Macaca fascicularis: one gene and its partner. The protein of the gene in region 1 interacts with the protein of each later gene in a pairwise test. Links are inferred from orthologs where the notes say so. Each region holds a gene or a part of one and is shown on either strand. Other genes may lie near its edges.

Evidence for each region. The genes of interacting proteins can lie anywhere in the genome.
Region 2: the proteins of KLHL12 (region 1) and INMT interact in binary tests that used the Homo sapiens proteins (3 or more experiments, as listed by UniProt). The two-hybrid records come from large-scale screens. The link is inferred for Macaca fascicularis from reciprocal best matches to the Homo sapiens genes KLHL12 and INMT.

Annotation. Positions count from the first base shown.
Region 1 is NC_088375.1:60,664,846-60,668,492, forward strand, and holds part of KLHL12 (kelch-like protein 12), read right to left. Parts: intron 267-3,647; coding exon 117-266; intron 1-116. UniProt on the Homo sapiens protein: Substrate-specific adapter of a BCR (BTB-CUL3-RBX1) E3 ubiquitin ligase complex that acts as a negative regulator of Wnt signaling pathway and ER-Golgi transport.
Region 2 is NC_088377.1:99,545,543-99,549,738, forward strand, and holds the start of INMT (indolethylamine N-methyltransferase), read right to left. Parts: upstream 2,893-4,196; 5' UTR 2,877-2,892; coding exon 2,723-2,876; intron 1,260-2,722; coding exon 1,052-1,259; intron 1-1,051. UniProt on the Homo sapiens protein: Functions as a thioether S-methyltransferase and is active with a variety of thioethers and the corresponding selenium and tellurium compounds, including 3-methylthiopropionaldehyde, dimethyl selenide, dimethyl telluride, 2-methylthioethylamine, 2-methylthioethanol, methyl-n-propyl sulfide and diethyl sulfide.

The sequences.
Region 1 (3,647 bases):
CTAGACAGGCAAACCAGGAGACTCTGTGCCTACGTTAAAATAATCAGTTTTGAATACAGAACACTAAGGTAAGAGTTTGTCAAGGTTTTGGATCCTGAGAGTGTTGCACCACTTACCTCAGCATCTATTACATCCGTGATATACCTGGGGGTCAGCAGGGGCATACGCACATACTGTAGCAGGTTAGGCAAGGATTCTTCCCGCTCTTTCTTGGCATGCTTCACCCAGTTGATGACAGCCTCAAAGACTGGCTCTTCAGAATCCACCTGTAAATGTGTAATTACACACCGTGGATCCTAGTTTTCCAATTAGCTCACCATCTCAAAAAGTAACCACGTTCACTTTCTCCTTCCTGCTTTCCCATTGCCCATCACCATTATTTCCCATCTTCCAGAAACAGCTAGGCTCTTGGGAAAACATTTTTTTCAGACACAGCTAACAGACCAGGAAAAGAATTATAGTCAATTTGGGTTATACACACACACACACACACACACACACACACACACACACATATGAATGATAAACAGTACGTAATAAATCACTAGTCACATATTGGCCTTCGTTTCAGAATTTTCCCCATTCCTGAATTGCCTCTGGTCATCTCTCTAACTTTAGGGAAGGTAGGTGGGGGAATCTGTTGCCTTATTGACAATCAGCTCTTGAAATAATTTTTAGTCATAATTGTTATCTAATGATCTCCAGGCTCACCCCTCAAATTGTTCATCCAAGCCTCTGAAGCAGGAGCTTTTCTAACATCATTAGTTGCTGTTTTCAAAAGCATTATCGCCTTTCTGCCCGTGGATGCTGCCAAAGTAGTATCTTTAAAGTCTGTCTTCTCCCTGCCCTCAGGTCTAAGTCAGAGTCTCCAAAAGAGCCCGAACAGCGGAGGAAGCTCTTCATTGGAGGGTTGAGCTTTGAAATAACCAATGAGAGCCTAAGGAGTCATTCTGAGCAATGGGGAATGCTCATGGACTGTGTGGTAATGAGAGATCCAAACACCAAGCGCTCAGGGGCTTTGGGTTTGTCACATTGGCCACTGTGGAGAAGGTGGATGCAGCCATGAATGCAAGGCCTCACAAGGTGGATGGAAGAGTCATGGAACCAAAGAGAGCTGTCTCAAAAGAAGATTCTCAAAAGACCAGGTGCCCACTTAACTGTGAAAAAGGTATTTGTTGGCAGCATTAAAGAAGACACTGAAGAACATCACCTAAGAGATTTTTTAACAGTTTGGAAAAATTGAAGTGATTGAAATCATGACTGACTGAGCCAGTGGCAAGAAAAGGGGCTTTGCCTTTGTAACCTTTGATGACCATGACTCTGTGAATAAGACTGTCATTCAGAAATAACACCCTATGAATGGCCACAACTGTGAAGTTAGGAGAGCCCTGTCAAAGTAAGAGATGGCTAGTGCTTCATCCAGCCAAAGAAGTCGAAGTGGTTCTGGAAACTTTGCTGGTGGTCGTGGAGGTGGTTTCAGTTGAGATGACAGCTGTGGTGGTGGTGGATAAGCGGCAGTGGGGATGGCTATAATGGATTTGGTAATGATGGAAGCAATTCTGGAGGTGGTGGAAGCTACAGTGATTTTGGCAATTACAAGACCCATGAAGGGAGGAAACTTTGGAGGCCGAAGCTCTGGGCCCCTATGGTGGTAGAGACTAATACTTTGCCAAACCACGAAACCAAGGTGGCTATGGTGGTTCCAGTAGCAGCAGTAGCTATGGCAATGGCAGAAGATTTTAATTAGGAAATAAAGCTTAGCTGGAGGGGGAGCCAGAGAAGTGACAGGGAGGCTACAGGTTACAACAGATTTGTGAATTTAGCCAAGCACAGTGGTGGCAGGGCCTAACTGCTACAAAGCAGACATATTTTACACAAATACTCATGTGTATGGGCAAAAAACTCGAGGACTGTATTTGTGATTAATTGTATAATAGGTTATTTTAGTTTCTGTTCTGTGGAAAGTGTAAAGCATTCCAACAAAGGGTTTTAATGCAGATTTTTTTTTTTGCAGCCATGCTGTTGATTGCCAAATGTAATAGTCTGATCGTGATGCTGAATAAATGTCTTAAAAAAAATAAAAAGGAAAAGCATTATCAATTAGCCTTCAAGGAACTACTGTGTATTAGGCACTATGCTATTTGAGAAGATATAATTAATTAATCATCTGGAGAACTTAGGTCTAAGATTACATATGACCAATTAGATAATGGGAGATACACTCTAAAAAAAAACCTATTCTACAATACTGGAAGGTCCTAGGTATATAATAACACCTAGAACTTCCCAAAGACAGACACCTGAATACAGGTCCTGTGTCCCTTCTACAAGCCCCTAGAGAGTACATATTCTGGGAGATACCTTTCAGAGTGTCACTGTGACTAGATAAAAAAATCACTCTGTAAACTTTTTCCAAGAACTGTGATACTCTAAAAATGCAGACAGTGTTTCAAAAAGTGCATTCATTTGAGGGAGTTACTGAACTCCTCTCCTAAGTGCCAGGCACTGCCCTGGAAACTGATTACACAATGGTGAACAAATCAGATATGGTGAACAAATCAGATATGATCCATGCTCTTAAGTGGGGAGTCAAACTGCTAAATCAGAAAAATGAAAAAACTCACTATTATTACATACTATATAGGAAAGGTACTGGGGCTATGAGACAGAACAACATGAGATTTTCTGGTTTAGATTGGTGAGGCAGGGAAGGCCTCCTTGAAGAAGCAACAAATTGAAATCTGATGGATGAGTAGCAGTTAGCCAGGGGGAGTAAGACAGTACTCCCAGGCAGGACCCGGCACGGTAGCTCATGCCTGTAATCCTAGCACTTTGGGAGGCCGAGGCAGGCAGATCACGACGTCAGGAGATCGAGACCATTCTGGCTAACACAGTGAAATCCCATCTCTACTAAAAATACAAAAAATTAACCAGGGCGTGGTGGCGGGCGCCTGTAGTCCCAGCTACTCAAGAGGCTGAGGCAGGAGAATGGCGTGAACCTGGAAGGCGGAGCTTGCAGTAAGCCAAGGTCGCGCCACTGCACTTCAGCCTGGGCGACAGAGCAAGACTCTATCTCAAAAAAAAAAAAAAAGAAAAAAAAGAGAGAGAGAGAGAGTACTCCCAGGCAGAGAGAAGAGCACACTCAAAAGCACCAGAAGTGCATTGTCCAATACACTACCCATGTGTGGCTATTTACATTCACCATAATTAAAATTAAAAATCAGCTTCTCAGTTGCATTAGCTACATTTCAAGTGCCCGATAGCAACATGGGGCTAGCAGGAGCAAACTAAACAGTATAGATATAGAGTACTTCCATCTTCGTAGAATGTTCCATTGAACAGCTCTGTCCTACAGCAAAAAAGAACTGGCAGCTTGAGGAAATGACTAGAAGGCTAGTGTAGCAGAGTGAATGAGGGTGATAGAGGAGTAAAATATGAAGCTGGAGAGTCAAGCAAGGGCCAGATACAGAGAGCATTAGAATACTGGATTTCACTCTAAGTGCAACTTGAAATCATCCGCAGGTTTCAAGCAGGCTACTGATATGATCATATTGATGTTTTGTAAACATTATCCTGGCTACTGTGGGTAGAACAGTTTAAAGGGCCAAGAGCTAGAAGAGCTTAGACGCTGCTCTGGTATATCAGGC
Region 2 (4,196 bases), on another chromosome or scaffold:
CTCAAAGGTGACTAAAACTAAATTATAGATTATTTAGATATACATAAGTATGCAAGAAAAAATGTTTTGAAAAAGGGAATGATAAGCATAAAATTCATATTAGTTACTACCTCGGGTTAGGAAAGGCAGGGGCAAGGAGTCACAGAGAAGCACAGAAGTCTTTATTATATCCGAGTACTCAGGTTGGGTGGTGGGTTCATGTCACTGCATTATATAGTCACACAGGTACAGACAATAGAGGGAAGAAGGAAAGATGGATGGATGGGTGGGTAGCTGGATGAACATGGAGGGACATGGATAGATGGATGGATGGGTGGATGGATGGACGGATGGATGGATGGATGGATGGATATGAATGGATGGATGGATAGATGGATGGATTGATGGCTATGGATGGATGAATGGATGGGTGGGTGGATGGATGAATATTGATGGATGGATGAATGGACAGATGGATAGATGGATGGATGGGTGAATGGCTGGCTGGCTGGATGAATGGATGGGTGAATGGCTGGCTGGATGGATGAATGGATGGGTGAATGGATGGATGGGTGGATGGATGGATGGATATGGATGGGTGGGTGGATGTATGAATATGGATGGGCGGATGGATGGATGGATATGGATGGGTGGGTGGATGCATGAATATGGATGGATGGATGGATGGATGGATGGATGGATGGATGGATGGATGGACCGGTGGGTGGATGGATGGATGGATAGTTAGATACATAGAAGATAGATAGGTAGATATATAGATGAGGGTAAGGAAGGAAGAGAAGAAGGAAGGAAAGGTTCTATCATCTGGTTTTCAGTGTTCATACTTGATTATATCACACCTCAACATAGTCCTGTGATCAGATACTTGCACCTAAAACTGCTGTAATCCTGAAACTTGGGGCCCCATCTACTCTGTCCCCACCATAGGACATCTGGTCCTGTACCTATAGGTCCTACTGTCCTGAAAATGCCAGAGACAAACAAGAGGCCAGGGAGACTTCTGAGAAAGAAGGTTGACTGGGAACCCCCTCCACAACCTCTGCACCGCTACCTGTTTCCTTCCAGCTCACAGGCGAATTTCACCACCGGGGTCCAGTCATAGGCCCCCGGCTCCTTCTTCAGCCACTTTTCCAGCTCCTCCCGGTTGCGGTCAGTAAAGTCGGAGAGAGTGATGTCTCGGAAGGACTCACAGGCAGCGAGAACTTGGTAGATGGTAGGGCCTGAGCCAATGTCGATCAGTGTGTCCCCTTGAAGGCCTCCTGTGGGAGGGAAAGACTGGTAATGGACGGGTAAGAGAAACGAGACCCAAGGCAGACACAGGGATGAGGACACACATCCTGGTCTTACCCAAGGGGCAAACAGCACCAAGCATGGTGGTTATCACGGATTGGCGGTTCCCTGTAAGCCAAGCCTCATACCAAATATTTTATATGCATTAATTTCCACTTACACCTCAGAACTACCCTGTGTACTGACTACTATCACTATTTTCATTTTACAGATTAGAAAACTGAGTCTGAAAAAGGTTAAACAATTAGCCCAATATCTTTCCATCAAGAACATAAGCCAAGAGTATAATATTTCTGGGACAGAGAACAGAGGCCCAAGCCCTGCTCTGGGGAAGATTCGGGCTGGAGGGTTCAGAGGGGACATGCTGGGGGCAGTGGCTCTTTAAGTTTCAGGCTGACTGGAAGCTGGGAGCCTCCCCTGGAAGTCCGGCCCTTCCTGGATGGGTTCCTTGTTCCTTGGAGTGGGGAGGGGTGTAAGCATGCAGGAATAGGAAGCCGGGGCTGAGGAGATGATCTGGGAAGATGGCCCCAGGAGTGAATCCAGGGTCACCTGGAAGCTGGAATGAAGCATGACTTCCAACATTCTGTCTGGAGCCCTGGCGTGGGGCCATCACTTGGCCTTCCAAGCTTGGTCACACCCAGTCCAGCTATTCTCTGATTTCTGCCTCCCGCACCAGCCTGCTCCTCCAGGCTCAGCAGTCTTTTAACCCCCTCTTAACCCCCAGACCACCAGGAGACTCACCCTTATTGTTCCGCAGTCAAGTGCCCAAAGTGAGGACATGGCTGCTTGAGTTTAGAAGACGTGACCAAATCATGGGGTCACCGTGGGGAGGGCAATGATCATTGGGAGACAGGCAGAAGTCGCCATCAATTGCACAGATGGCTCAGTTGAGGTCCTTGGGGCCTGAGCGCCTTGCTGTCAGGTTTGCAACAGGGTTGAGACCCCACCTAGCAATCCTTGTCCCAGGGCAGGGCTTTTCCAGGTCCTCATCACAGACACATCTGGGCTGCACACTCTGGGCATAGGCGATCCCGACCCACTACAACTCTGCTGTTTGCCCTTGGCCTTCTGGGGGCCCCAGAGGCCTGGCTGTGCAAGGTTAGGACTGAACTTGATGATGACCTGGAGAGCCTTTTCTGCTCCACCCCAAAGACCTAGGGGCTAATGGAGAGCAGTGTGGGAACTGCACGGGGCTGTGCTCTTCCCATAGGTCCTGATCCCTCAGCTGGCACACAGCTCCTGAGCCGTGGGGAGACAGACCCAACTTCCAGTATAATAGCTGCCCAAAGAGAGGGGCAGGGCCCCAGCAGCTCCCTCAGCCCGCCCCCAAAAACCCCTAGAGGAGACCAGACTGCCCCCAGGACACCTTATCCCCATCCCTATCCAGATTCCTTGGAGAGAGGCTCAAGGGGAAGGGTCACCCTCTGCTCACCAGGGCCGAAGGTCTTGTGGAGACATTCCAAGTTAAACTTCAGTATCTCAGCCTCGGGTGAGGGGCTGCCATCGAAGCTGTAGTAAGTGGCCAAGTAGTCCCTGGGCAGGAAGTGCTTCTGGTACTCATCACCCCCAGTGAAGCCACCCTCCATGGTGTCCCTGAAATGTGCCCTCTCCTGGCTGTCAGGTCTTATGAGGGCTCCAAGCTCTCCAGGCTCCACCCCCAGCATTCCAGCTTCATCCCATGGCTCCTCCCAAGTATGCCTCTCCTTGAGCTTCTCCTATGGGCATGCAGAAGGGAGTGCATTCTTCACCGCCTCCTAGTCACACTGACACACACGAGGTTTCCCCAACCCCAGCGCTATGACCGCTGGGGCTGCAGCTGCCCTGGCTCTGCTTCCTCTAGGGACCAATCCATGTCCGTCAAAGGCAATTGATAGTGCCCAGCCCTGGGTGCAACTCTCAGCCCTGCCAACCACATGCTGCTGTGTGGCCTCCAGCAGGTGTCAGACCCATGTTTCCCCACCTGTGTGCCCACTTCACTGACTGTGAGGACCAAAATCCCTCCCCTAAGTCACAGGTGTTGTGGCCTGAGTGCACAGTGAGATCCCCATCTTGTCCCCTGGTGGTCAGTGGGGTCCAGCAGCTCTCTCTAGGCCAAGCAGTGGGTGCAGCTTCATGCATCCCCCATCCCTGCTGGAGAACACAGTTCAGACCCCAGGAGGCAGAGCAGAATGGCTGACTTGGCATCACTGTGCAGGTCACTGGGAGAAGAGCAGAAATTGTCATCAATCTCCATGAATGAGAACAAGGGCACCTGGTCATAAAGCATAAACTGTCAAAGGGGTCCTGGTTTCCTGGCTGCTGACTCACCAGGCAACTCCGGGTAAGACACTCCTGGCCTCAGTCTTCTCTTTGAAATAGGACTGGGTTGTAAAATCTCCCACAGACAGAGAAAAGTCCAGTCTCTGTTTTTGGCATTAGGAAATGGCTCTGACTTGGCCACAAACCAGAGAGAAATGAATCTGCTACACTGGAGGTTCACACCTCTTACCCTGAAAGTGGGAAGGATAGGAATACCTTGTTCTGGCTTCAAGTCAACAAACAATTCTGAATTCACAGGGCCCAATAGACGGGGGATGCCACAGAGGCAGGAACACCCAGCAGTCGTCAGGGCCTAGCTTCCAAGAGGCGGGTGCCTGGGCAGCCTCCAGGGAGGCTTGCAGCCGTCGTGCTGGCCTGCAGAAGGCATACAGAGCTGGCGGGAAACTGCAGGGCTCGCGTTACATAATTAGAGGAGTGTACAATAAAGGCACGGTACTAAGTTGTGGGCAGGGTGGAAGGAAGACATATGGTACCTCTATTAGTCAGGGTTCTCCACAGAAACAGAACCCAGGATGTGTACACTGAGAGAACCAGATCTATTGTAAGGAATTGGCTCGTGTAATTGTGTAGGCCAGTAAGTCCAAACT